Linked DNA regions of Drosophila melanogaster. The protein of the gene in region 3 interacts with the protein of the main gene of each other region in a pairwise test. Each region holds a gene or a part of one and is shown on either strand. Other genes may lie near its edges.

Region 1 (7,740 bases), about 12 Mb from region 3:
GGATCTTTACTTAATACATTTTCTTTAGCTGCGAGCTCTGCCAAACGTTCTTCAATAGAAGGAACGCCCTGGCCACCCACTACAAGTCGAAGCACCATCGCCTGAAAGTTGAGGAGCAGTCAAAAATGCCAAAAATGGATGCTACTGTCCAAGCGGATGGGTAAATCGTTGGTTCCTTGAGAGGATTATTTCGCATGTTCTGCTATTGACATGCAAAATGCCCCTCTGGAAACTTTCTAAAGTTGATGTCAATAAAAATTGGTTACAAATTGCTCCCTCATCCAAGCTGAGTAACGGGTATCTGATAGTCGAGGACTCGACTATCTTCCCTTGTTTCCTAATAAGATATGGCATAGCAGTAAATTGTGGTTTTGCTAACATCAATAATTTTCAATAAAGAATATAATTAAAATAATGAATTGGGCTATTCTCAACAAGTGCTTAAAGTAAACAAAAAGCTTAAAGCCATATGCACCGTACTAAAATCGCTACGCCCGTGAAAAGTGCTCTTGGCTACGCACATGGACACAGCCTGGAGTTCAACCCCTAGTTCAAGGTTATGCAGCCCTGCAAACTGTGCTTGCTGTTTTGCAGAAATTCGCAGTTTGCCGGCAAAGGATGAAGTGCGCAGTTCGCATCTGCGGCAACAGATTCCTCTGCGAGTTCGCCAGTCCAAGCACATCTCGGTGAAAGAAGAAAGCATATTCCGGACTTTCCCAACAGTCCGCGAAACTTTTCATCGACTCAACATTGCCGAAAACGGGAGAGCTCAAATTATTTGCGAATAACTTTCACAGATGAGGTCGTCTAGGACAGCCAGCGATTCAAAATGGGTGTGTCACTCAAACTCTTATTAATATTCTAATCTGGTATATTATGTATACCTTCGTTTTTTTTTTGCATTCAAGGTGCGCCAGTCAAACGACAACAAAGACACAATGCGCTCCTCGCGGCAGGTTAACAAAAAGCTTGTGAAGCTATTCCTGGCGGAGGCAGACGACAGTGACGCCACCTGCACCACATCCACTGCCCTGGACACGACCACAGCAGACAGTGCGTTTTTTGATAGTGATTTCGAAGAGGAGAGCACTGGGCTCCAGGAATGCGATCCCCCGCCGGCAAGCAAGTGCCGCACCTGCTTTCGCATCATATCGCGGCATGAGGATGCTCAGGATCTATATGACAGGGTCAACATAGCGCTTCTGCACCACATAAAGGTCATCACTGGGGTGTGGGTACGTCTGCGTCTGCATTTAAACTTACGTTTTCTTTTTTGTTGTTAAATTGTTTCATCTTCGTTTTATAAGTTAACTTTGTTGACAAGGAACATAATATGTGAGTTCTTAAACTGTTCTACCACAAATTTAACAGAAAAATAAACCCACTATATAATATTATAATAAAGCTGCATTAAAGAACTAACATTTTATTGCAGATACAACAAGGAGTCAAAGAGCTACCGCATCACATTTGCTCAACGTGCCAGGAAACTGTGAATAAATCCATGGAATTCCGTGCCAAATGCCAGCAGGTCGACAAAAAGCTTAGGCAGACGACGGAAAAGTACAACATTCAAATCTGTGACGAGGAAATGGAGTCGGAGCTGGAAAATGTGCTCTACGAAGAGTCCGCCCAGCAGGCAAAGGGAGTCGTAGGACTAGAAGATTTCAGCTCAGAGTTGTTGCCGGATAGTGAGGGTGTCCTGGATGAAGACGACTTTCCACTGGATGCAGAGCCAACTCAGTTTTCACTAAGTGAAGATGAGTTGGATCTAGACAGAGACACAGAAAAAGACTTTGCTTTGGAGCAAAACAAGTCATGTAATGAAATAATTAGCATACGAAAGTGTAAGACTAAGGAAGAGATTGGTAAGGTAGATCACGGAGCCAAGGTCTATAAGGTTGTGCTCGGTGAGTACAATAGCCTAAAGGAAACTGCACCAAAGTATTCGCTTTCACTACCAAAGAAACCTCAACTAAGGGTGAGTCCAGAGGAGAAAAACCGAAGGCGCCGCGAAAGGATACAAGCGAAGCCATTGAACTATGTCTGCGACAAGTGCGGCCACACCTTTCGCCAACGCAGTCAGCTGCAGATGCACTTGCTCCGTCACAATAGGGCCAAGAATTTCGAGTGCCCCGAATGCCCGAAGAAATTCTACGATCTCTATACGCGCAACATTCACGTAAGAGCGCTGCACAAGGGCGAGCATCCCTTTCCCTGCAACCATTGCAATGAGTCCTTCGCAAACGCAAGCAGTCGTCACAGGCACGAGAGGTGAGTGCACCTACTATTTGATGGTTCCATCATCTAATCACTTCGATTGACTCCAGGGATGTTCACGGAGCAGGCAATCGGATTCGAACGCGGGTGAAATCAAAGGAAGAGGGATCCAGTCGCCATTACTGCACCCAGTGCACCAAAAGTTATACCAGCAAGAAAGGTCTAGTCCTGCACATGAACTTCCACAACGGAAGCAGACCCTTCCAGTGCAAGATTTGCCAGATGAAATTCGCTGACCCATCTGCCATGAAACGACATCAAGCTTTGCACGACAAGTTTCCCATTCGCTGTGACATCTGCCTAAAGGGATTCCTGCTGCGCTCCCAACTAACAAAGCATCAGGATGTACACACAGGAATGCATCCTCATCGGTGGGTGCAAAAGAGAATCCCGACTACTGTCCGTTTACTTATTTCTTTACTTGATTTATATTGCCAGGTGCGAGATCTGCGATGTTCACTACCGCCATAGATATAATCTAAACAAACACAAAAACACCGATTTGCATCGGGATAATATGCAGAAAGCTATAAAAGAAGAAGTTAATGGACTGCAACAAGCATTTAAAGATATTGATAAGGAAATGGACTTTGAATCTCAAACACCAATGCAGCCAAATGCACAGGAAGTGCGAGCCAGAACTCAGGATGAAAAGACTCAAACTATTGAATATATATAATTTTTATAAAAATTTATATACTTTCATGGCGAAGTACGTAATACTTCTAAGGTGACGTTTAGTAAGTGCCGACATAGAAGATAATGCACGAACAATATTTTAAAAATATATAATTCGTATAATAGTATTATGCATTTAATAACGTTAAGCTTAATGAAGAATAGACTTGACAACCTAAATACAAATCTGAATAGTTCAGACGTATGTTTCATGAAAGGAACAATAAATATTTATATTATTAATATTAAATAATAATCAATTAAAAAATAATATAAGTGCATTTGTTTTTCCTAATTAAAAAATCAGCTGATACTGTTATTTGAAATTCTCCAGTTTCCCGGGCAAATGAGTAAGGGGTTGGTTTTGAACGTTTCCTACACTGGCCGTTGAATGAATGATACATGATTTTAAAATTACGATAATTGTAATAAAATGAATACAAAAAAAGGACTGAAAGTAATAATTAAATTTGTATTTAAAGGGAAAATATTTTTAATACTTTCTATTGCCTAGGGAAATGATGAGAAGATATTTGACCACAAACTATTAAAACCAATATTACTTATTTATTAAAAAATTCAACCGAAACAGCAGTGCCGTTAACCACCCCGATTTCAGTGTAGCAAAACACCAGCCGACTAGTGTTGCAAAGCACAACCACCCATTGTATACATACATATAAATAATACCTACGCACACATACACGCACACACGAGTACAGTCGCAAGTTGCGACTCGCAACGCCATACAAAAAGTTGGAACTGAGTGGAATCGGAGTACTATATAGCCAGCCGATCCCTTCCAGAGCGCCGGAAGAGTAGCTCACATCCGAACCCACGTCCCCGAGCCGATGTCGCGGCGGGAATAGAGCGATTCGCAGTCCAAACACGATGATAAACCCCATTGCATCCGAGTCGGAGGCCATCAATTCGGCCACCTATGTGGACAACTATATCGATTCGGTGGAAAATCTGCCGGACGACGTGCAGCGCCAGTTGTCACGCATCCGCGACATAGACGTCCAGTACAGAGGTGAGTTCTGGCCGAGATTACGCCTGTTGGAAAAGCGGAAAACCTAACCTCCTCTCTTGGTCCAAACCCGTCGATTTGCAGGCCTCATTCGCGACGTAGACCACTACTACGACCTGTATCTGTCCCTGCAGAACTCCGCGGATGCCGGGCGACGGTCTCGAAGCATCTCCAGGATGCACCAGAGTCTCATTCAGGCGCAGGAACTGGGCGACGAAAAAATGCAGATCGTCAATCATATGCAGGAGATAATCGACGGCAAGCTGCGCCAGCTGGACACCGACCAGCAGAACCTGGACCTGAAGGAGGACCGCGATCGGTATGCGCTCCTGGACGATGGCACGCCTTCGAAGCTGCAACGCCTGCAGAGCCCGATGAGGGAGCAGGGCAACCAAGCGGGCACTGGCAACGGTGGCCTAAATGGAAACGGCCTGCTTTCGGCCAAAGATCTGTACGCCTTGGGCGGCTATGCAGGTGGTGTTGTGCCTGGTTCTAATGCCATGACCTCCGGCAACGGTGGCGGCTCAACGCCCAACTCGGAGCGCTCGAGCCATGTCAGTAATGGTGGCAACAGCGGCTCCAATGGCAATGCCAGCGGCGGAGGAGGCGGAGAACTGCAGCGCACAGGTAGCAAGCGGTCGAGGAGGCGAAACGAGAGTGTTGTTAACAACGGAAGCTCTCTGGAGATGGGCGGCAACGAGTCCAACTCGGCAAATGAAGCCAGTGGCAGTGGTGGTGGCAGTGGCGAGCGCAAATCCTCGTTGGGCGGTGCCAGTGGAGCGGGACAGGGACGAAAGGCCAGTCTGCAGTCGGCTTCTGGCAGTTTGGCTAGCGGCTCTGCAGCCACGAGCAGTGGAGCAGCCGGAGGTGGTGGTGCCAGCGGAGCCGGCGTAGTTGGTGGCAATAATTCCGGCAAGAAGAAAAAGCGCAAGGTACGCGGTTCTGGGGCTTCAAATGCCAATGCCAGTACGCGAGAGGAGACGCCGCCGCCGGAGACCATTGATCCGGACGAGCCGACCTACTGTGTCTGCAATCAGGTGAGTTCGCAGTGCTTTTCCTATCGAAAAGCTTCGCCACTAATCACGTTTTCTATTGCAGATCTCCTTTGGCGAGATGATCCTGTGCGACAATGACCTGTGCCCCATCGAGTGGTTCCATTTTTCGTGCGTCTCCCTGGTACTAAAACCAAAAGGCAAGTGGTTCTGCCCCAACTGCCGCGGAGAACGGCCAAATGTAATGAAACCCAAGGCGCAGTTCCTCAAAGAACTGGAGCGCTACAACAAGGAAAAGGAGGAGAAGACCTAGTCTATTAGGCCAGCCTATCCAACCCATTGCTCTGTGTCTAACACCAGGCTCTGTAAAATATTCGATCCTAAGATTTACCTTAATGTATATTTAGTGACTTTCTTAGACCCGATCCCTTTTCGACTTTCCCCTCTTTCACCCAGTTTAGATCCCTCGCTTCTATGGTTATAGGTCGTCAGTTTTCATTTAAAGTTTCTGTACAAACAATATCTTTCTCAATGTAAACACACAAAAACTCGTATAATTAGAGTACACCTAAACTTAATTTATGGTAATAAACGTTGATATTCAAAACCCACAATAATTTCTTGGCCCCAAGGAGCCCGTATCCAGTAGCAGTAGTTTTACGAATCTATTTGTTTAATTGTCGTTTAGAAGACTAAGGCATTCGAATTACACATAAGTATAATTGATCGTGTATAAATGTGTGTAAAATATATAAATTTATATAAAACTATTTGGTAGGCATCTGTGGAATTGTATGGAATTCTTATTGTAAAAAATGCGCATGGACGGAGTTCTTGTTGCGTGTCAAGTCAAAAAGTATTCTAATAGATTATTCGAGCTTCTGTATGGAGGTTCTTCCATCATGGCATGAGCAGCTCAATGTTCGGATTCTGGATCTCCAGGAATATCTGGTACTGCGAGAAGACCACCAGCCAGCAATAGATCTAAGTGGATGAGTAAAATGGGTTTATAAACATAATGATACAGGAGTTGGTGTTGCTGTCCCTTGAATTTCAAACACTTACATTGTAGGCTACCCAAACGAAGTTCAAAAGGGCCGAGAAGGTTTGCTCCAGCTGGCGGTAGAGTAACACGAATTCATTAGCTTTAGTTAATGGAAAAGATAATCGCTACTCACATAAATATAGTAGCCTCCAATAAGCCAAAGGCTCCAGCTAAACTGGAAGAGAATGGCTAGTCCAATTAGACCCAGCCAGGGTAGCAGCCATCCTCGAGTGCTGAGAAACAGATGCAAGCATGACTATATCCGTACATATAGGAAGCCAGAGCTCGTCTTACCTGATCTTAATACCGTAGTAGACCAAATAGGAAGACAGGATGATTAGCAGGAAGTAGATGATAAAGAAGCCACCTGCCACGGGCATCGACGAACGTATATCCGTCTCAAAGAGCGGGGAATAGAGCTGCGCAGACTCCCCGCCTGCTAGCATATACGAAATCAGCGTGATCATTACGGCGGATAGCGCAGCCGTATAGCCGGCCACGGCATAGCTTCCCGTCCGGACATTATCCGACCAAATTATGGGCGACCAGCAGGAGCTCAGCACTACCATGTTGCTGTGGGAAAACACCGGGAGACACCAATGAACAAACTTCTCCGATCTCAAATTTCTTTGGCTTGCGTGACAGCGTCAACGCCCAAATATTTTGGTCAATGAAAACGCAGTCGAAATGTATGATTTTCTTCTGCTTTTCAATTGATAGCTACTTCTAAAGGTTAACCTTGGATATATCCTTTTAAAATGTCCAGATTGTTTTGGTTTCTAGGGCGTGGGCGTACCTTTTTTTAAATAATAATCGCTTAATTAGAAAAACAACAACGGCTTGAGCAATAGGGTTGCCATGCGTGCGTAAAAAAGGGAATTATCGATATTTATTTAGTTAAATATATCGCGAAAAGTTATGATATGTTTAATAAATTGAAGACATTTTCAGTAAATAGAATGTTTGCAAATTTAAAGTATGAGAATATTTTAATAAATATTATGATTATAAAATTAAAAAGTGTATGATACTAAATAATCGATGACTATCGAATATAAACTGAAACGCGAGTATGAGCACTGTACAGTATATTAAAATATTTATTATGTTTCCTATAATTCTATTAACTAACAAATGTACAGCAATGTATTTTAAGATATATTTATCAAATGTTTAATTTATTATATAATTGGTATATAATATATTAATTGATATATATAACTAGGTATATAATTTTTAAATTGTGAATTAGCTTAAAATTTGTTTTACACTCTTCAAGCTTGTAAAAACAATAATAATATCTGACCATCGATCGGTCCCACTGTGCAGCACTGAGCAGCTGAGCTGACCGAATCTGAATTCGAATATTCACCATGTGTCGACTGGCGACTGCAGCAACAACAACCACACGGCAGAGTACAGGGCCGGTTGTTGGAGTGATCTTCATTTGGCAATTACATTTGGCCGTGTTCGGAGGTCTCCGCGGATAAAAGCGCCAAAACAGAAGCCGAAAAAGGCCCAAGTCGCTCGCGCTACGTGAATCAGTTATCAGTGGGATTAACCGCGCGATTCGCACGGAATTCAAACGCACATAGTGGCGCAGTGGCAACTTCCCAGTGATCGTCGCATAACGGTAGAAAGGTGAAAACCCGAATCGAATCGAATCGAGTTGAATCGAAGGGCATAACACAGTACCCACACTGCGTGGGCAAGGT
Region 2 (6,700 bases), about 24 Mb from region 3:
CGGATTCAGTCTGCCATAGGGTTCCTCGTCCTTTGGCTTAAATACGGCCAGGCATTGCTAAGGGGGAGCATCATAAGAAATGGCATAATAAATACATAGAGCATAAGCGGGTAAACAATATACAATTCACTATTTTGAAACTGTTTCAGGAAAAAACCAAAAGTTTTGCAAAAGCCTTATATTTGCAGTACTTCCCCGATTACCCGATCTTATTTATCTATGCGCGGAAAAGTAAAAGATCGACGAAGTTAGGCCCAGAACTGGACGACCCAACTCCCACCTTATGCGCAAGAACGGCTAGAAGATCGTCACCCCGATTCCCTACTCACATGGGAGGCATCCTTGACAAAGTAGGAACCACTGCTACCCTGGTAAATGCGCTCGGGCAGCACACCATTCTCGATGGCCCCCTCCGCCTTCGCCACGATCTCCGAGAAAAGCGGGTCATCTATAAGAATCAAAGATTAAAATTAAAAATAGGCATTAGCACTAGGGCTTTAAATTACTAAAAAAGTTTGTGCGTAGAACGAAGATTCGCATGCCTCAAGCGACGGGTAAAAAACGGACTGTTCGTCATTTATTAAAATTGAACAAATTTGCTATATAATTATGGTTTTAATAATTTATAAACACACCAACGAAATAACGTGCCATCTGTTGGATAAAAATAATTACAGCAAACATGCACGAAAACGCTTATAAGACTGCGATGAAATTCAAGACCCCATCCTACACTTTACTTTATATCAAGGAATGGCATAGGACTGTTGACTACGCTAATCCTCTCCACGCTACCTATGAAATCAAAGTTGTCGTTGAAATCGCCCTGCAAGTCCTGGCAAATGGTAAACACTTGCGGTATGAAGTTTTCGCGACTGCTGCTCGACAAGCGCGACATGGAGGCACTGGTATATTAAGTGCGCCGGCAGTCGAGAGGTTTCGAGTCGGCTGGCAGTTGATAAAGGAGAACCAGGTCACAATTAGCATAGCCAAAGCGTTTCGATAAGGGCCAACCCCTTGCCACCACTTACAGAGGTTCCTCAGCGGGCAGTTGGCACAATTGCAGCGCGGAGCCGCGATTTGAACGGTTACTGTGTCTTTGGAGTCACGCGCCATCGACGGTGAGTTCACCAGAAAGGGCGGATCGCCCTCCTTGTCCGACTGCGACTCCAAGAAATCCTTCTCCAGCGGGCACTTGTGCTCGCAACAGATGCAGGCGTAGGCGGCGGAGGCGGAGGGCACCGAGGAGCTGCTCTCCAGCGCATCCTTGCTTGTCGTGGGCTGCTCATCGTCTCTTGGTTCGCTTGGCTCTTGGTACTTGGCTGCTATAGCGTTCGGCAACGGCACCTGGCTGAGAAACGACTTAATGTTGTTTTTCGGCATGGGGCTATGTCCAATTGGCGACAGTTGCCAAAGGAACAAGTTCCATTTTTGAAGTGCCTTCCTCGAAATTCTTTATATGCTTCCCGACTGACTTCGATTCCGAGCTACAGACGTCCACGGTGACATCCAAGTACACCAAGATTTATAACACACAATTTTGTGCTCAATTTCGAAAAAAAACTAATTCTTGTAAAAACCATAAAATTGTAAAAAATGCTTTGAAATGTGGGGCGATGACTATAGGATTAACATACAAAGGGCAAGCGAAATATGGCCATCTAGTGATATTCAGTACTGAGTAAAACGATTGCAAAAAGAACAGACAAACTATAAATCGCTTTCGGAAGTTATTTCGAAATGCAACGAAAACAAATCGGAGGGTATTACTCATCAGCGTATGTTCAAAGGCAGCAGAGCAGTGCGAATCACCTGAGTCACAAAGGTCAAAGATCTAGATGAGTACTCATTTGGCAGTGTATATCGCTCCCACAACACACTCTACATATATCTATAAAAGTTAGCTCAATTCCCTGCACAACGTACAAATTGACTAATATTTGAGTAAGCACTTCATGGACTAACCAATAGAAATGTGGTTATTCTTATGATTGCATTGATTCATATATGTATTATTTATCTTAGCAAGGGAATACAAAAGCAGTTTGTATTAGTTTTTAAATAAATCTAAATGTAAATAATTCTTTTGGAGGACGGAAATGCTTGGGTTGACCAGGGTGCTTTTGTTGACTTTAATTTAAATTTAAAACGTATAGCAGCTAGGAATCTAACCCTTATCATTCTATTTAAGAGTCTTTTTGGTTCATTTGGTCGGACATTTTGTCTAGTTTATATTCACGTTTAGTTTATATTCAAGTATGTAACAGAGGCGAAATAGCTAGTTTCCAGTTACAGATCCTCCCCGTATAAAAGAAATTAGATGAAGTTGAATGAATAACATCGAGGCCCTAAATAATCTGTTCTAAGCTTGCGCTGCTTGTGGAGATAGAACCACCATATGTAGCCGTAGAAGTGATAAGCACATCATGAGTAAAGCCACAAAGCAAACAAGGCAGCAATGTGGTCTGGGTGTGGTAGGAAATGCAACTTGTACGACTTCATTAGACCGCTGCGCACTCACCGCCAAATGTGTTCGATACAAACTCCACATGATCGTGCCCGCGTCCTAGTCCGCCCAAAAGCTCGCTGATGCGACTTCCGTGACTGGCATTGCCTCCCCCCAAGAGCGGCTGTGACTCCCGGTTGTCGCTGCCGGCGTCCGTGGACATGCCCTCGAAGTCGATTTCTGGCACCAGGCAGATGTCGTCGGCCTCGTCATGCGGATGACGGGCGAGAGCAGTGTGCGAAGTGGTTTTCAGCGGAGATGTCAATGCAGATGAGGCTACCTTCGCGGGTGCGATGTGACAAATAATCGGTGGCTGTTGGCTGCTGCTGTCGATGCTATCCTCAGCGCTACCTTTGAGTCTTTGGTTGCGCGGGTTTGAGCTTCTCTTCAGCAGCACAGCTTCTTCGCCATCTTCGTCGTCGATCTGGTCGTCGTAATGCATGACCAAGTTATCCAGTTGCGGTTTCTGAATAACAGCATCGCCGCCGGCACTCTCCTCGCCTGGCGGCAGCCCGTTGGTGTGGTTCCTCTCCTCTTGCGCCTCTTCCTCGTCATCCTCGTCGTCCACCGACAGTAGCATGGGTTCCCGCGCCTTTTTCCCTCTTCTCCTTGTCTTGCGTTTGCCCATGCCGACGGTGTTGATCTAAGGAAAAAGTCAGTTCATATTGCCATATGTATTGCAGAAGGTGAGGTTGAGAACGGAGTGCACTCACCTCAACTTTGGTGGTCAACTGGTTGCTTGTCGACTCGAAGCCATTTAAAAGCGGAGACAGTTGGTTTCTGGGCGGAGGTTGGTCCTTGGCAAAGTCCCCGATGAGATCCACCTCGTCCTCGAGCTGGAGCAGCGGGGGATCCGTCTGATCCCGAGCGCCGCTCATGTTCGCACTGAGCAGGGGGTGGCAGGCACGTGGGTGATTGGGCGTGGGTCAAGAGGGCTGGATGAGTGGGAGGTGCCGTTGCCCTCAATCCGCAGCTGACGGAACAACAAAGGCCCGCGCTGTGCTGCAGCTTCTTCTTGCGCTTCTATCCGCGACTTTTTGGGCGTCGCTTGGTTCTGTTATCTGCTCCTCCGCTTTTCCTCCGCTCGCATGTTCCTGCACAATATGCTTATATTATTCGGGCTGCAAGTTGATTACATTACTTGCTAATTGCTTCAATTTTGTGCTTCTATTTCGTTTGGCAATTTATTATCGATTTTTGGTTTAGAACCCCAGCTTCTGTCCCAGTTTTATTTCAGAAACGGATCTTGGGACGCGGAGGATCTCAAACACCATCGAGATAGGGACTCACCATGCACTCCGCAAATGTAACAAGTGAATTACGCGTTCGATTTAATTTTCGCTAAGAACACGAAGCGAAAAATGGTTGACAAATCAAACAGCTGACGAGTAGAATTCGCGGTACTGCCCACTTGCTGGTTCTGCACTCGCCGAGTGGCAGCCTCGCACATGAGAGCGCTGAGCGGAAATATTTAAAATTTAGGCGTACTAAAATATCAAGATAAGGTTTGTGGAAGTCTATATTGTATAAATTAGCTAAATAACAGTGCAAAAATCTTTGTTTCTAACTCTTAAAGGTTAGAAAAACGTGTGAAAGTAGAACTAAAGACAAGGGGAGCCAATTTATGGACTTCTTATTCTGTGAAAAACTAATTGGCTTACTAAAATAAGAAAAATTCTAAGCTCGATATAAATATGTAGTCCATTTTAATAATGTTTGTTATTTGATACTAAAGAAAAGGCATTTCTGGGCGTCATTTATAGGTTTTTTTAAACGAGGTGGGATCATACGTCAGATAATTATGAAATTGACGTTTCAGATAGATCAACAATAATTTCTCGCATATCTTCTTCATCGAGAGTCAGTGAGTGCTGTTTCAATAATGTTTTCAAATCTACTTTATTCTTAACATTGTATGGATTGTGTGCGCGCCATAAGTATCTAGCTAAGCAGGGCACTCCTTCGCAGCTTTGTGATCGAATCCAGCGCTTCTCCTAGCTGCCGCTGCAGATTAGTGCTCTCGGCGACCAGCTCTATGCAGTCCTTGAACTTGTTAACAGCATTGCGCAAGCTCATCGGTGGCAGTACCCTGGAAAAAGGAGTAAGTGAGTTATCACATTGACCCACATACACACAGGCTTTATCAGTGCTCACGAGAACCAATGCAGGGGCTCCACGAAGCCCTTGGACTTGTCAACCGCCTGTCGCTCGATGCAGACGCCATCCGTGGAGTCCACGACCCGGCAGAGGGCGTTAAACTCGGCACTGTTCTCCGTGGGAATCTGGGCCGTGGACACGCACTGGCTGCCTCCGTGCTGAAATCTAGTGCGGGCCAGGAGAATCGCCCCACTGGCGTTACATCGCTCCAAATTTATCCGACACTGGGTGTGCTCCTCAACGAGGTGGAACATGTCCAGGTACAAGTCATCCAGTAGCTGGCCCGCGGCCTCCTTTTCGCTTCTTTGAATGCTCATTGCGGGCTGAGGAATAACTTTATTTATATATTATTATTATTTCGGTCTGACGGAGATTTTTCAATCATATGATCGCACCAACAACCCTGACTTATCGCTGCTATGCGCCGAGTTGGCACTACCGTCGATAACAAATGTTATCGCCAGCCCTATTCTGATTTGCAAACTAACAACCGACTGATTTGAATCAAAACGAAAAGAAACGGCTGAAAAAAGTTTGGTTTTGTCGCGTGCATACGAGTTTTACGCAATGAATTGTAATTACTGCCGCAACAAACACGGTCATGCCCAATTAACAAGTAAACGGTCAAGCTGCACACTCTCGGGGAATCCGACTAACGAAAAGGGCAAACAGCTGTTGTTGTTTTCTTGCGCATTAGTTTTTGGAGAGGGGTGAGGTGAAAGGGGCTGGCTTCGCAGTTTGTTTTACGATGCTGTTGCGAGATTAGAGAAAGTTTATAAAAAGCCCTGCCATTAGCATTCAGCAGCATTAGCAATCGGGAAGCAGTCAAGTTGAAACCACGTCGGGATTAACGCCACCAGACTAACAACGAGTGGATGCCCCAAGTGCAAACAGTTCCAAAGTCAACTCAAATATACCCAAATCCCAGGAGATTGCATCGGATCGGGTGATAATGCCCGATAGTTGTACGGCGGACCTACGAAGTCGCCGCCGCGAAAATCCAATCGACCGCAACGGCAATATTGGCGGCACAGGCAAGGAGCAGGTGCTCGTCAGCTAGCCAATAGTGTTTTTGACGCCTGGCTTGTTAAATCCATCGCGTGTGCATATGGCATCGGCATCCTATACGATATAGCCGCTCACTATACCATATATATATGTGCACCACACACATCCATACCTATCTGGCCATACGTAACCGCGTTTGATGACAAACATTGACGAAAAGCGTGGCCAAGTGTGCACTGAAAGAAAAGCGAATGCTATGATTCCTTCTACGAACCCTATAAAAATATTTATCAACATTCTAGTTTTAGTGTGAGCAAATGCTGGCACAATCGCTAGGATGATTGGAAACATTTTTATCTCAATTTATACGTCTCGTATGGGGCCTTATTTTTTTCACTATTTGTATCTAATCGCGAAAATCGTAGGCTTGCCCATGCCACCGCTTCAGTAAGGGGGGGTTGCCTGCCTATTCCGGTATACTCTCTAAAAGCATTAGCTTTTTCATCAATAGACTTCCCAATCTGCGACTGATAAGCACATATGCACATGAAGTAAAAAAGTTAGATAGGCCTTCTTTTCAATCTATCCCACACCTGAAGTAGTTTACCCGTCCGCATACATAAGTGCAATCATTAATGACTCGTCGTTTGGTTATCTCTTCAATTATTTAGGCGACAAGCACCAGGCCTAAGCTGACAACCGAATATACCCAACGGACTAACGAAATGACTGCGAGCAAGGAAGGTCAAGAATCCAGGCGAACCCTCAGCGACAGTTCCGCAGAGGACGTCAGGAATACAGGATCGAGGACCAGGACCAACGACGACGAAATGTGGCGCAATGAACTTGCTATGAACACGGACAGCAGCTCCGTTCAGCCAGAAAAGCGAGAGGAACGAAGCCACAGAACAGGAAACTCTAATGCGAAGCTCAGCGATGCCGTAGATGTTGTTCTTCGCGTTCTCCTCGTCATTACCTTCTTGTGAGTGTTTTGTGCTTCATTCCAAATGCCGACAAAGTCCATAACTC
Region 3 (7,049 bases):
AGTTCACCACGCTGGGCAAGAACTTCCGGCTGATCCTGCATCCGCACAGGGATGTCCTGCACAGCAAATTCAGGGCCTACGCCGTGGATGCGGATGGCAACGAAACGGTGGTGCATATGGGTAAGATCTATTGTATATATAGATCCATAGCAAATTTCTAAGCACTTAATCTCCGCAGATCACGATAGCTTCTATTCGGGTCGGGTGTTTGGCGAACTGGAGTCCTCTGTGCGTGCCCACATCGAAGACGGTACCATGACCATGTCCATTCATTTGCCGGAGGAAACCTATCACATTGAGCCCTCCTGGCGACACCTGCCGGAGGCCAAGAAGGACACCATGGTGGCTTACAAGGCCTCGGATGTGAAAGTGCACAAGAATGAGGCGGGTGCCACCCCCAAAACCTGTGGCTACATCAAGGAGGGTCTCGAGCTGGAGGACAAGGAGCACGGTGATACTCTGGACAATGAGCTGCACACGAGGGAGAAGCGTCAGTCCGATCAGTACGAGTACACGCCCACCAAAACCCGGTGTCCCTTGCTCTTGGTGGCAGACTATCGATTCTTTCAGGAAATGGGTGGTGGCAACACCAAGACCACCATTAACTACTTGGTGAGTTTCTTAAAGAATCCACGTTCTATCATCTAGTAACTTTTAATCTTTAGATAAGCCTCATCGATCGGGTGCACAAGATCTACAACGACACTGTGTGGCAGGACCGCTCGGATCAGGAGGGATTCAAGGGCATGGGCTTTGTGATCAAGAAGATCGTGGTGCACTCGGAGCCCACGAGACTGCGAGGAGGCGAGGCACACTACAATATGATCCGTGAGAAGTGGGATGTGCGCAATCTCCTGGAGGTGAGTTGACTTCATCATAGCCCCGTCACTTTTCGTGTAGCTGCTCTACCTCATGGTCATCTAACTCTTGTATCTCTCACTTTAACTCCGACTCCTCCGTGGCCATTTCACCGGCTAGGTCTTCTCCCGGGAGTACAGCCACAAAGACTTTTGCCTTGCCCATCTCTTTACCGATCTCAAGTTCGAAGGCGGCATTTTGGGCCTGGCCTACGTGGGCTCCCCCCGTCGCAACTCCGTTGGCGGCATTTGCACTCCAGGTTGCTACACCCAGTTGACTCTCATATTTGTCCTTTTCATTTGGCTTATAGACTTTCGTTTCCTTGGTTTCCTTTTTCTTTAGTTTTCAGCTTGTTTTTTAGGGGTGCTATAGAAGTCCCAAGAGGGTTTCTTGCATACCCTTAAGTTGTGTATCCCAAACTAATTTATTTTCGTTTCGTCTCCAAGAATACTTCAAAAATGGTTACACTCTGTACTTGAACTCGGGTCTGAGCAGCTCCCGCAACCACTATGGTCAGCGGGTCATCACCAGGGAGGCTGACCTGGTCACGGCCCATGAGTTTGGACACAACTGGGGCTCGGAACACGACCCCGACATTCCGGAGTGCTCACCTAGCGCCTCGCAAGGAGGCAGTTTCCTCATGTACACGTACTCCGTCAGTGGCTACGATGTGAACAATAAGGTATGGTTCTCCTGTACCTCCACCAATAGAATTTTTTAACGCCTTTCCATTCCTTAACAGAAATTCTCCCCCTGCTCCCTGCGTTCGATCCGTAAGGTGCTGCAAGCCAAATCGGGCAGATGCTTTTCAGAGCCCGAAGAGTCCTTCTGCGGCAACCTGCGAGTCGAGGGCGACGAGCAGTGTGATGCTGGTCTTTTGGGCACCGAGGACAACGACTCATGCTGCGACAAGAACTGCAAGCTGCGCCGGAACCAAGGAGCCATGTGCAGCGACAAGAATTCACCGTGCTGCCAGAACTGTCAGTTCATGGCCTCCGGAATGAAGTGCCGCGAGGCGCAGTACGCCACCTGCGAGCAGGAGGCTCGCTGTACCGGCGCCCACGCCGAGTGCCCCAAATCGCCGGCCATGGCGGACGGAACCACCTGCCAGGAGCGGGGTCAGTGCCGGAATGGCAAATGCGTGCCGTACTGCGAGACCCAGGGTCTCCAAAGCTGCATGTGTGATATCATCGCGGATGCCTGCAAGCGGTGCTGTCGCATGAGCATCAATGAGACTTGCTTCCCCGTAGAGCCACCTGATGTCCTACCCGATGGCACACCCTGCATCACAGGATTCTGCAACAAGGTATGCTTGTGGATTGACTCCTTACATTGCCCATAATTATGCTAAGCTGCGATTTCTTTCAGGGCGTATGCGAAAAGACCATACAGGATGTGGTGGAGCGCTTCTGGGACATCATCGAGGAGATAAATGTGGCCAAGACCTTGAGGTTTCTCAAGGACAACATTGTCAGTAAGTATTGCAATCTTAAATATTACATTCTGAAGATCCCCACTAAGCCACACTTGCTCAATCATATTTTCAGTGGCCGTTGTCCTCGTCACTGCAGTCTTTTGGATTCCCATCAGTTGCGTCATATCTTACTTCGACCGCAAGAAGCTGCGCCATGAAATGAAGCTGATTGAGTGGAGCCAGAAACTGGACCTTATACATCCCAGTGACGAGAGGCGTCGAGTGATTCACATACGGTAGGCGCTCAGCCTCCTACTTTATAATTATATACTGATAACCAACCACCAATCTATACTTTCAGAGTGCCACGCCAGAAGATTTCGGTGGCCCGAGCCTGTAATTAGCACAAAAACCCAGTGGGTTCCTTTTGTTTTAATCTTCCGTGAGCATTCTTCTTAAAACTGCCACAATTCGTTTACATTAAGTGACATATTTGAACATACGCAACACAGAATGAATAAAATTCCATATAATATAGACCAAAAACAAAAGGTCATTATAATTGGATGGTTTCTTTACATTATTAAAGTCGTATTGAAGTTTTTATTTTTTTCGGATCATTTAGTTAGCTTACTGGAGTGTAATGTGTTTCTACTTCTTCTTATTACTCTTGCCGTTCGTCTGAGGAGCTGCTTCTTCGTCGAATTCCAGTTCGCTATCCTCCTCCTCGTCCGAATACTCCTCGTAAATCTGACCGTCGTCAAACTCGCCAAAGTTCATCTCGACCTGAGGGTACGGCAATTTGTTAGGAACAGGAACCCAAAGTAGATAGAAAGATAGATAGATGGATGGATGGATGGATGGAGCTCACCTTGCCGCATACGTGTACGGGTCCACTTCCCTGCACCAGTTTGAAGGTCACTGATCCATTGGGGAACTCGACATTTGGTCTTAAGCTACGGGTCTCGCCGACCTTCAACACGGCAATGGGGATCTTCAAGGTTTTCTTCTCGCCATCGTCGTTTATGTTCGTCTCCGCCTGGAAGCGAAACATTAAATTTGTGTGCATTTTATCACTGTATAATTTCCGAGTTTTTCGCGAAATATGATATGAGTTAAATCAGCCATGTCGCCTTTAAATTTACGACCTGCGACGCGGGGCAGATTGCCGGTATCGAGGCTCACCTGTACAACGTTGAATTCGCCGGTCTTCGCTTCTGGGCCGAGGGAAATCTGTTTGATGATGAGCTTGTGCGAGTGGACGATGTACTCCTCGGGTACATCTGGGACCTCGAACTGTGCGATGGCCTCCTTCTCGCTGAGTGTGACACCTGGAAGTGGACGAACGGCGAGAAGGGTTGGATTTCCGACTGCTTTTTGCCGGCTGGAGGGGAGCTGCTCGCAGCGTGGCTATGGGATGGCTATTGGAGCGCTCTTCCAGCCCAAATGGCAATGGTACTCACCATAAAACGACTCGGACTCCATTTGCAGGCCTTGGAACACAGATGTACAGTCAATTAATAAAAGAACCTTTTGTACTCTACACGTGCCCGTAAAACGGCGATGGCTGCAGTTGTGTGAAGCGTTGAGCGGTGCTGTTATCGAAGCGCAGGACTATCGATATTATTCGTTTAATTTGTTGGGAACTTCGCAAGTACTGGTAATGAAGACTTGAAATATTTTTTAATATATTTTACTGTCGCGTTAGCTTGCAACAAACGAATATAGATTGTCACATTCGATTGGACACTACAAGTGGCAGCCCTGCGATTTTGATTCCCAGTCTGACAATCATCGATTTCGGCACCTTACGTCGGCCTGGCAACCCTGCGACAGCTACCATTTTGCAAAAGATTTTGCTCAACACGTGTTCGCCGCTGGTTTTGTGTGGAATTAATATTAAATATTACCTACCATGGCTGAGGAATCATTCTACGGTAATTACAATTTAGCAGTTGCACTCTATAGGCAGCGAAAGGGGGCAAAAGTGGACGCGTAGAAGGCGTATTTACCACCGAAAAGGCGGAGTGTCTGCGAAGCTTGCCGGTGTTTTTGCTCTAAGATTTGCCGCTGGCCAATTTGTGTGTGTCTAGCCTCAAACCCTCGGATTTGAGTGCGCGAATAAGATACGAATCAGAAAGTATAATGGCGACTATATCCCCTCCGCAGGAGTCACTTTGACCGCCGAGAGCGACAGCGTCACGTGGGATGTGGACGAGGACTACGCACGCGGCCAGAAGCTGGTCATCAAACAGATCCTCTTGGGCGCCGAGGCCAAGGAGAACGAGTTCAACGTGGTCGAGGTGAGTACTCCATTCATTGTGTATGCGAAACGGGGCATTCAGTGCATGTAGTAAATCCCATAAATTGTGTATGCGCGCGCCGGTTGGTGTCCTCTTCTTTTTTTCTTTTTCATTTTTTTTTTCGTTGCATTTTTCCGGCCGGCGGGGCAGGGACCGGTTTCCATTTTTCCCCCAGACCAGAACAACCTCGAACTTTTCGCTCGTTGTGGTGGGCTAGGGTAATTGTGTCTGTACATCTGCAAACGGCCGCCGAGTAACCAGCCCCGGACTTTCGATTGCCATGGTACATTACCAATGGGATGTGCTAGGTACATAAATTCTTTTTAGTACAAGGTACTTGCAAAGAAGTACTAGGTACTTTACAACTGTCCCAGTAAATCCAGGGACTTAGGTGTTTTGTATATTGTTAGGAACTTTCGAGAATAACTATCAAAGCACATCTTCTTTAAAGAATATAATTTTTATTATAATAAATATTTTTAATTTGTGCTTTAAAATTTCTCATTAGTTGTACCTAACCATCATTATACCTTAACCATCAAGATCCTCATAGTTTAAGTACCCCACCTTTCCGAACCAAATTCATTGGCGCAACTGTACGCAGATACACATACGGCAAGACAAAAGAGCACTCTTTATTGACTCAAGTCAACGGCGATACACGAATCGGCTGCCTCGGCATCCGCAATTGTTTGCATTAGGTCTGGAAAGCTTTTCGAGAACTTGAACATACTGCGCAGCTTCCTGTCCATCCGGCAAATCACTCCCGCCGCCGGAATACTCCAATTCCAGCAGATCATGTCGCACTTCAGCAGGGCGAGATCTTCGCGCAGTGACTTGAGGTTCTTCGCGAGGAATAGAGAAGAGGTTTCGGGTCAAAGGTCATAGTTTGCAGCAAAGAAAGCTGGCACTCACCAAAGCCACTGTCGTATCAATTGAGGCAATCTCGTGTCCCTTAATGACCACCAGTGTGGTGGGGGCACTTCCCTCGCTGTTTCTTTGCGTCACGTGCGACACAAGCGACATTTTCAAGTACTCGGCTGCCGCGTAGTCCACGCTGCCCTTGAGATCGGCCATGGTCACCTCAATGCCGTTAAACTAGGTTGATTGCCAATAGAAATTATTAGGCCCTATATATGCAGTGTGTCAGCTCACCTTCTCGGTTGTCAAGAAAAACTGCGGCTTCATGCTCTTGTAGAGCAGGAAAAGCGCATTGAAGACGATGCCCACCACCATTCCGTACTCCAGGGTCCAGAAGACACAGGTCAGCACGGTAACCAGGAAAGGCAGCATATCGCGCTCTGTAAGATAACCAGACTTACTTTAACTTCACGTGGGATCCCAAATGCCATGTAGCACTCACTTTTAGCCCGCCAAATCTCGCCAATGGTCTCGTACTCCACCATAAAGAACATGGCTGCAATGATGATGGCTGCCAGGGTCGCCTTCGGAATGTAGGCAAATGTGGTGGTGAGGAAGGCCAGGGTCATGAGGACGAGAGCGCCGGTAACCGCACCACCCAGCGGGGTTTTTACTCCACTGGCGTTGTTGATGGCTGTCCTTGTAAAGGATCCAGTGATAGGCATGGAGGAGAAGAAGCTGCTGAGGATGTTGCTGACGCCCAGGGCAATCATCTCCTGCGATGCGTCCACTATCTTGCCCTTGGCTGAAAGTAGAAGAAGCTCAAGTTATGGAATATGAACTGAAGTTATTCCTCCGCACTCACAGAAGGCCTTGGCCACAGCTATGCTCTCCAATATGGACAACAGTGGTATGGACACCAGGGCAGTGCCTACGTTCGATACCATGCCACCGAAGCTAATGGTTTCTCCAGTCTCTGGATCCTCCGTGTGAAAAGGGGGAAGCTTGAAAGGCGGCAGGCCTGGAGTGATGCTGCCGCTGACTAGAAAGGGCAGTTTGCCATCGTTCTTCAGAAGATAGCACAGGAGTATGCCAATTAACACGGCCACAGCATTGCGGGCCAGTGAAATATACTTCCACACGCTTTTGAAGCCGAAAGTTAGGTTTTTCAGTTGCTGAAATTATTTAAACATTTATAGTCTCGCTAATCAAACCTTCTAATTAAGCAATTTAATTAAGCATTACCCACCCTCATGAGCAGCAGGAGCACAAGTGTGCAGCAGCCGAGGATGGCATCATTTCGGCGTGTTTGTGTTATGTGACCGAAGAAGTATATCCAGCTGTTAAGGAACCCACTGGCACTACTGCTAATGCCAAAGAGGCTATTAACCTGGCCGGTGGCAATGGTTAGGGCGGCTGCCATCGTAAAACCCGTGGTCACCGGCACCGATATGAACCGCATGAGCACTCCGAGATTGAGTAAACCCATTAGGGTGATGATGCAGCCGGACAGAAAGCATATTAGCACCGCATACGCTGGGTTGCCGTCCACATATGGCTGCACCATAAGCGCCATGATGGCCGTAGGGCCTGTGGAAGAACGATTTGAATTA
Region 4 (8,306 bases), on a different chromosome or scaffold from region 3:
TTCCCGCGGAACTTTTGCAGATCACTGTACGCCGGCGGCGGCGGATTCCGGAGGAGACCACCTCGATTGCGACGCAGTGCTCTGCGCACGGGCATCCTGATCGGCGTCAGCCAGCTCAGCTGCTCCAGGCGGCGTTTGTGGCGCTGCCGGAGTGTTCGCGAGGCGCAGTACGGACGGACGGTGATGTAGAAGAAGATCTCGATCACCGAAAAAATGCTGAAGCCCATGAAAAGTCCCAAAAGGCCGCCCGTATTAGCTGGAAATTTAAAAGATAAGATATAATTAAGATTAGTTACATTTCTTAGTTTTGAACTCTTACACAAGAATTCGGTAAAGCCAAACATCTCGGACTTGGTGGTGCTGCGAAATATGTTGGTCATGTAGTAGAAGTGCAATATCGAAATCTCGCTGGCATTGCTATATGGCCCGTGGAAGATATATTCGGGTAGATTCTCGCCGGCCTGAAATCGTGGATCCGAAACGATCGAAGCCGTTGAAAGTGTGGCCCTGTATGTTAGCTCGAAGCAACCCGGCCAGCAGTTCTCGCAGGACAGATTCGTCAGCGATGACTCAATCTCGGTTTGCACCCGATCCGTGCACTGATTATCGTTGGGTCCGCACACCCTGGCCAACGGATCGATCCGGGGCAGATAGTACAGCACACAGCTGCACTCGCGTAGCAGCAACTTCGCCTCGCATTCCAGCTCGCAGTTCTTACGCGAATATGTCCGATAGTAGGCCAGGTCATTCTCATCGGAGAAGAGGCAGCGACGCACCGATTTCTTAATTGACCGTATCGTGGGCAGGGCATCCTCATAGACTGGTTCGATGGGTATCCGTGCCTCGCGTCCCGCGGTCACAACGAAGCCATAGTTGCTCACTTTTGGCAGCTCGGCGGGATTGTGCACAAGAACCTTCAAAGCGGATTTATACAATCAGTAGAAGTATATAGTTGACTAAATACCATGCATCCCACCTTGAAACCAACACTCATCGACTTGGTGCAGTAATACTCCGCTATGGAGGCGTTCAGCACGACGGTGAGACCCATGCGGATGCCCGTGCCCCCCGAGGTGCGCGGAAAGTAGAACTCCGGCAAATTGCGGGCATAACCCTTCTCTGGTGTCCAATCGATGAGCTCATAACGGGTATTCGGATGAGCCGTCTCCAGCCGCACATCGTCACTGTAGTTCCGTATAAGATACGACGGATGCAGGGCATTGAAGTTGCAGCACAGCCCATCGTCCGTCAGTATGGAGGTGAAGAGCCAGGAGCAGTCCTCCTCGCGCGATCCGAAGCTGCAGTACAGGAGCATTTTCTCGCACGGCTGGGCCACGTCCACCAGGATCGCCTTGAAGTACTTCCAGGTGCCGATGTACGAGATGGTCGTGTCCCCGCCCTGGTCACACAGACCCATCAGCAGCGAGAAATTCGTGCTGGTCCGTCCAATGCGATCCACTTTGCTTAGCAGCGCCTGGTTGAGATTACAGATCGTGATCGCCGGAAATGGCATGTTGCTGGTCAGCTTTTGCTTGGCACTGGTCGAAATGATTATGGGCGAAGCACTCCACTTTACGTACACGTTGGATATGAAGAACACGGAAAGGATCACCACCAGCACAAAGGCAAGACCAAAAAAGATGCTGAAAGGCGATATAAAATATGAATTGTAAGTTCGTGGCATTGCTCGTACTTGTCTATATATAAAGTAATGCCTCTTTTAGTGTCCGCGATCTCTGCGATAGGCTGATCGATTCGGCTACCTTGCTTACGTACCGTTCCGGAATGGTGATGCTCTCTTCGGCGATGTACTTTAATCCATGGAGGGTGCTGTTCTTGAGATAGTAGACCACACTCCTCTTAATGGCCGCCCTGCTACAGATGGTATTCTCATCGTCATCCGACTCGGAGTCCTTTTTGCACCCGGAGGAGCCACTTTGGCGCCGCCTGCTTTCCGTCAACGTCCTCATAATGCACTACGTCCGCACTTCTTTGAATCTCCGCTATTTATAGGTCACTTTCTGACTGCACTTTTAGGTGCAATTCCATGGCGGTCATCAGCTTTAATCATATTGAACCAAGGCAAACACGGTCGTCCATTTGCAGTGATAACTGCCAAATTGATTTTAGCCACCCCCTTGCCATCCTCCACGTATTTTGAAAATCAAGTGGATGGCCAGAAAATATGATTACATCGTGGCAAATAAACTTTACACCTGAAAGTAAACATAGATACACGCACGCTTTTCAATAAAGATATTCTAGATATTGTAATACACACAGGTATTGAAAGGGATTTATTTAAGCAGCAGCTTTGTACTAAAAGCAATAATAATTTTTCACAGAAATTTACCATTTAGCTGAACGCCATTAAAATTGCGATCAATTTAATTGACTTGCAGTAAACACAAATGAAAAGTATGAAAAGCTGCTAGAAACCACAAGCATATATACATTAAACTAAATTGGCCAGGATTTTTATTCACTTCCAAATGTTCCAGCAAATAATAACGCAACAATTTCAAAAATCAAGGAAGATAAATTCATTTAATAGGCATCTTTCGTTAGCCAGTTAAGTACTTCATAAATAATCTCCATCCGCATGCGGCATTTTTGCCACTCAACCATTTACATTTGCGTACTAATTGCATAGATTTTTGGCTGGAGGTTATATGAGGTTACTTTTCAAATTATACAATTTCAATATTAATATTCAGTAAAAATTCAAAATACAATACCAAAATGTATCTAAGAGATCCCTATTTCTATATTTACATACTCCATTAATACATTTTAATCTACTTAGAAAAGTTCGTTTCAATTTTCAGAGACTTTCTTCATGCAATATGCACGATAAATAAAATAAATGTTTTAAACTTTCATATTTTAGAACCTTTTCAGTGTTCAAGTTAAAAAGTAGTTGAAATACCTTTCACTCTATCATAGAATTCTTCATCTCCATTGCTAGCTAAGCGCTTTCTATACATTTGTCCCTTCTAATTCGGATTGAACTGGAAGAAGTCCACGTTGAGATCGAGAATAGCCTCTGTGTTGGGCGTTTCCTTCATGGTCAGGGCCTCCACGGCATTATCGCTGGCATGATCGTAGCCATGGTTCACAGTCGGAGGAGCAGTTGCCACTGGCGGCTGCATAAGATCGCTGACGTTTCTAAGCAGACTCTCCTCGGAAGGCGGATGAAGTTGACCGCCCGCCGATAGATTGAGACGCTGTGCAGCCTCGTCTGTGAGCGGATCGTCCAGCGACATGCTCAACTCTGCGTAGACCACCAGATTGCGGGCTCCTTCACTACCGCTGCCGGCAACCAAGGCCGCTCCCTCTGATTCCGGCATCGGTGCCAGCGGCGACTCCATGGCGGACATATCCAACGCATACTGACCCTCGGGTATGCCCAAAACTCGTGCAATTCGTGCATTTACAAAATGCAGTCCAGAGGTATTCCGTATAAGCCGTTGGCTGCGCAATTGCAGCTGCTCCACAAAGTCGTTAAGTTCGTTAAGAAAGAGATCAGAGCGCTGTTCCTCGCTGAGATGGGAATGCCGCTGCAGTTGGGCGGTCAGAAGGCCGAACAGCGACGGCGTGGAGGGAGGATGAACCGTTGATGGTACTGTAGCTACAGCTACAGGTGGTGTCTGCTCGCCCGGACGCGGCATGTGCTCTGGGAATTTGACAAAGTGACGCTGCAGACGGCGTCCCAAAAAGATCTTTCCACAGCCGGGACAAACGGCATTTTTGGGCACGGCTCGTTGGATGGTTGTCGTTGTGGTCGGTTCCTGGCTTATACTGACGCTGCTGCTGACACTCGTGCTTTTCGGCGCTGCCATGGGTGCCCGGTAGTCCTTGTCCCGCAAGTCGGCCACCAGCATCTCAAGCATGCGGGCAGAACTTGGCTCAACCGCTGAGCCACTGGTCACGGGAGCGGGCTGTGGCATCAAGCTGCGCACCTGGCGACCGGATCTAGTGCGATGGGTGTCGGGAGCAGGTTTTTGCTCCGCTAGTGTTGGTTTCTTCGCCACAGGAGCGGTGGCAACCGAACAGGCTCTTTTCGATGGTCTACCCACTTTGGCAGGCGGATTCTGGGCATTTTTCTCTATCGCCGGGCGAATCCCCATGACGGCGGGATCCGGACAGCGGTAAATCGTTAATTGTTGCGTAGCCGCATCTGTGCGAATCACCTGATGGCGCTTTCTGCACAGGAATAAAAGATCACGGAACGTGATCAGAGAAGGTGAATGAAAGCTCCAAAAAATAGGGATTACTACCCACCGATCGATGACTATGTGATCGTTTTTGGACAGCTTGTGCAGACTGCAGGCCAGCTGGCCCAGAGTATCCTTAACGCGTAGCAAATCGCCTCCTGCAGCCGGCAAATCTTCGTCGGGCACGGAATTCTCTGCAGGATTCTTGGCGGCCTCCTGTCGATCCTGTACACCACCGGTCTTATCCGGCAGCACCTGCAGCTCGGCCAGGACCGAGGGATCCTCCAGGAGATGCTTCATTGGCCAGCCACGTTTGGTGGTTACAAATAAACATAAAAACAAATCTATGAACAAAACCGAATCGGATTTCGTGTTATTTTGGTATTTAGTATATTCTTAGATTCCCATGACTGTGGTCACACAAATTGTTTGATTTAAGCTTGCAAATACCTCGTGGTGAATAGACGTGCTCAAACAGAACATAAAGCAAATCTAAGAGTCAAAATTTTTTCTCTTCATCGAGGTACTATCATCATTAGCGTTCACTTATTACATTAAAATTAATAAGCACATCATCATCCCATTTTTAATACAATTTAGCTTTCGATACTAATCGCCTACACTTGATTCTCACCACAACCATTTCCCAAGGTCTTAGCCCATTTAGTTGCGCAGTGGAGAAAGAAAATAATCGATGATTCCTCGAAAAACATCGATGTTTGCGATTTTTCTCCACCTCTAATAAATATTAGCGTTATTTTCCGGATAATTATAGTTTGAACTTGGAAAATCCGCGGAGGCGAAGGAAATGGCCGAGAACGCGGGCTTCATCAGTGTGCCCTGGGGGCAGCACAAGCTGGGCGCGATGTACAATACGCCGTTTCCCTCGATAAGCCGCCCGAAGTGCATCGGTGTGTGCAGCATAAACGCTAGCCGGGAATTTGTGGACGACGCCAGCTGCGCCAGCTACTTGGCTGGCCAACCGTGGCCACCGCTGCCGTTCGATCTTAACGGGGGTATAGAGGATGTGATCCGTAAGCCCGTCGAGAACGGCAAACGGGATCTGGAAATTATGCTGACCTACATTAAGCAACACCAGAAGGAGCTGCTCCGTCAGAGTAGCTCCGATGCGAGAAATCTACGCCTGGACAGCGACTTTGTAACACTGCGCGGTATTTTGCGGCAGATAATGTGCCTGCAGTATGATAATCGCTCATTCCGCGTCAAGGCGACGCTCCTGAACGGCAACGTCTACATGTGCAAGGAGGAAACCCCAGAGCAGCAGCTGGAGAACGCGAACATGAGCAGGGCACAGCGGGTCATGTGCTCCTGGGGCTTCAAGTTCGAGCAGTACCTGACCAGTGCCCAGGCGCAGGGAAAACCGGTGACCAATGTGCCGGTCAACGAGGCAGAGGAGTTCATGGGCGTGTACCGCACGAACCTGGCCGGGATTTTGATGCTATACGGCGCCGAACTGGACTGTGTGGACAGCAAGGAGCCAGTGTGAGTGGTCCAGGGTTTAAATACTTATGAATGATTAATGTTCCATCCATTCATTATTTGTGTATACACTTACACGAATCCCATTAGTGACTTCAAAGATTGCAGAGTGCTCGACTCATTGAAATTCGTAGAGCTAAAGACCAGCGTCTTCAATATGAACCCTCACCAAATTCGCACCTTCAAATCGTTCAAGTCTGCCAACTGGTGGAGTCAGTCATTCCTGGTGGGCATCACTACGCTCTACGTGGGACTCCGCGACACCAAGGGCATGCTGCAGAGGATCGATGAGATCGATGTGGCAACACTGGCCCGCAACAAACCGTGGAGTGCATCGGCAATGGCTTGGTACCTGGAACAGTTTCTGCGCAATCTTAAGAAGCTGCTGGTGAACATTAACGATCCGTTTGCGGTGGTCCAGGTGACTTTTTTAAATAAGCACGCCAGCTACGAAGTGCTGCGCGGTCCGGAACATCAAATCCTGCCCAACTGGTATCGAGATTTGCTCAAAACGCGCTCCTAAGGCAATGCATAACATTTTCTAAACAACAGCAAGTCTGATTTTATAATGGGAATTAATCGTTTCTTTTTGTAATGCTTCCCGTACGATAACTACAACTTAGAACTACTGAATTGAGTGCATTAGTCACTTGAGGTCTTGGGTATCCAGGAGGGGCAAGACGCTGTCTTCCATTTTGGCACTGGTCGGGCCAAAACGTCGCCTGTCGGGCGGACTGACGGCGTTGGAGCTGCTCACTCCGAATGCTAGGGCTGCGCGCAGCGCTTTGCGATTTTCGATAACGCGGTCAAAGAAGCGGGACAGTTTCACGGCATCAGTGGTACCAGCGGCCAGGCTGCGACTGTTGCGGCAATTTAGCCAAATCTCCTCGGCTCCACACTTGTCGGCTGAGGGATATTGAAATAGATAAACGTTAGGAGGAAGCATTTGTTAAATGTCATATTAGGAGGCACCTATTCCGCCCGGCTTCTTCACCCCCATTTTGGGATGGCGCTTCTCGTCCAAGAGATCCAGCTTGGTGCCCATGACCAGGATAGGCGTTTGCGTGGCGCCCAGAAACTCCTCCATGTCGAAGAGAATGTGGCCGTCCGTTCCGAGGTTGTCCGTTGAGAAGCTGCTCAGCGGGCTGGGCGGCGATGGCGGCATGGAGGCTCCGTTCGATTTGTTCGTATCCTTGCCCTCCTTGTTGACGATCTCGTACAGCCAGTCGATTAGCTGCCTCTGCGACTTGGCGTTGGTAAGGTCGTGCACCAGAATGATTCCATCGATGCCCGCATAGAAGACGCTGCGCGTGTTCTTGTGGTTCAGCGATCCCCCAACATCGAACAGCTCCACGAAGTAGGGACACTCGCGAGCGGTGCCCTCCCTGAACGGATGCATCTTCACCTGGATGTTGCAGCCCACCGTCCAGCCGGGCCGGATGAGGGCTTCGTTGTGGGTGATCAGGTGCGTCAGGGAGGTCTTCCCCACACCTGGGTAAGGGGAATTCTCGAGAGGATTAGTGCCACGGAAAGCGTTTGACGTCCATTATTTACCCGAATCGCCAACCACAACAATTCGCACTCGATTATTCATCGCCATTTGATTGGAACTCATTTTATTGGTTGCAGCCACACTAGCATTCAATGACTACTACTAACTACTAAGAAATGTTAATAATGACACAAATTTCAGTGATAGTTAAACTACGATAATGTTATTTTCCAAAAAAACATTAGATTTGAACTTAAAATGTTTAATCATTTAATCAATTTAATAGTTTTTAAATCTGAATTTAAAAATGATGTTCAACACTTTTGTGTTGGTATATTTTCGAGGGTCGCTTGGCATATGCAGACTATCGCCCGCCGGTCACACTGGCTAAAGCTTAAAAAAACACTTGGAAAGATTCAGATAATAAACAAAATCAAATTTATCTGAACTTCGAATAAGATGGAATACGAAAGTGTGCTGATCGTGAAGCCGGAGGTGTTTATCTACAAAATACCACCCCGTGCGAGCAATCGTGGTTATAGGTAAGTCGACAAATCGGCTGGCAAACCAGGTGACTACTTTTTTTCGCCCCTTGCTTTTGGATTTTCTGCCATCAAAATTGAAAGTTCTTCGTGCATTTCAACGCCCACTCACTGCACATATAACTAAATATATATGTGCATATATCCACTGGGGGTGTGGGAATGCATTAATTATGTTTTTCTAAGAAAAAGTCAAGGTTAAAGGCAGCGCGACTTCTGCTGCTGAGGCTGTGAAGTTCAAATCCAATTGATTTTTTTTCCTGGAATTATTGTTGAACATTTTCACTTACACGTATCAGGGAGCCAAGAACAAAAACAAAAAAAAAAAAACAGATAAACACACAGAAAGAAACGGGGGGCAGCGAAAAAGCTTCGCTGGCGTGCGTGTAATTGTTGCTATTTGCAGCCACTCTCTTTGTTTTCCTTTTGTTGCTGTTCATTTCACAGTTAACTGCGCTCAGGTGGGCAAATAACACAAATTATCGGAATAACTCAAATATTGGGGGTATACCATAATTAAAAAGCTACTACGAACGACCCATTAATCGAATGCCA

What was found.
Region 1: the proteins of Nph (region 3) and CG7379 interact in a two-hybrid assay, tested with the Drosophila melanogaster proteins (one large-scale study listed by BioGRID).
Region 2: the proteins of Nph (region 3) and CG14671 interact in a two-hybrid assay, tested with the Drosophila melanogaster proteins (one large-scale study listed by BioGRID).
Region 4: the proteins of Nph (region 3) and CG13005 interact in a two-hybrid assay, tested with the Drosophila melanogaster proteins (one large-scale study listed by BioGRID).

Annotation. Positions count from the first base shown.
Region 1 is NT_033777.3:17,794,219-17,801,958, reverse strand, and holds CG7379 (uncharacterized protein), read left to right. Parts: upstream 1-3,654; 5' UTR 3,655-3,849; coding exon 3,850-3,991; intron 3,992-4,072; coding exon 4,073-5,025; intron 5,026-5,086; coding exon 5,087-5,293; 3' UTR 5,294-5,583; downstream 5,584-7,740. Other genes in the region: CG17806 (uncharacterized protein), read left to right, coding at 29-164; CG17803 (uncharacterized protein), read left to right, coding at 798-833, 909-1,235, 1,436-2,274, 2,331-2,651, 2,719-2,959; pasi1 (pasiflora 1), read right to left, coding at 5,881-5,964, 6,046-6,096, 6,159-6,258, 6,320-6,594.
Region 2 is NT_033777.3:5,559,746-5,566,445, forward strand, and holds CG14671 (uncharacterized protein), read right to left. Parts: upstream 5,071-6,700; 5' UTR 4,981-5,070; coding exon 4,661-4,980; intron 4,596-4,660; coding exon 4,448-4,595; 3' UTR 4,232-4,447; downstream 1-4,231. Other genes in the region: Pi4KIIalpha (phosphatidylinositol 4-kinase II alpha), read right to left, coding at 1-57, 330-448, 2,522-3,149, 3,220-3,384; CG12746 (uncharacterized protein), read left to right, coding at 6,397-6,653.
Region 3 is NT_033777.3:30,000,847-30,007,895, forward strand, and holds Nph (nucleophosmin), read right to left. Parts: upstream 4,016-7,049; 5' UTR 3,758-4,015; coding exon 3,736-3,757; intron 3,604-3,735; coding exon 3,458-3,603; intron 3,312-3,457; coding exon 3,144-3,311; intron 3,059-3,143; coding exon 2,924-3,058; 3' UTR 2,835-2,923; downstream 1-2,834. Other genes in the region: tace, read left to right, coding at 1-120, 179-612, 666-860, 979-1,117, 1,305-1,540, 1,601-2,164, 2,227-2,332, 2,406-2,568 and 1 more; Nlp (nucleoplasmin), read left to right, coding at 4,188-4,209, 4,442-4,575; CG7912 (uncharacterized protein), read right to left, coding at 5,211-5,420, 5,491-5,673, 5,731-5,876, 5,939-6,241, 6,302-6,611, 6,686-7,026.
Region 4 is NC_004354.4:16,799,971-16,808,276, reverse strand, and holds CG13005 (uncharacterized protein), read right to left. Parts: upstream 4,628-8,306; 5' UTR 4,518-4,627; coding exon 4,285-4,517; intron 4,207-4,284; coding exon 2,997-4,206; 3' UTR 2,523-2,996; downstream 1-2,522. Other genes in the region: ppk28 (pickpocket 28), read right to left, coding at 1-256, 320-914, 977-1,643, 1,777-1,970; Rai1 (Rat1 interacting protein 1), read left to right, coding at 5,026-5,720, 5,808-6,240; CG4789 (uncharacterized protein), read right to left, coding at 6,364-6,623, 6,690-7,208, 7,272-7,317; CG9132 (uncharacterized protein), read left to right, coding at 7,669-7,751.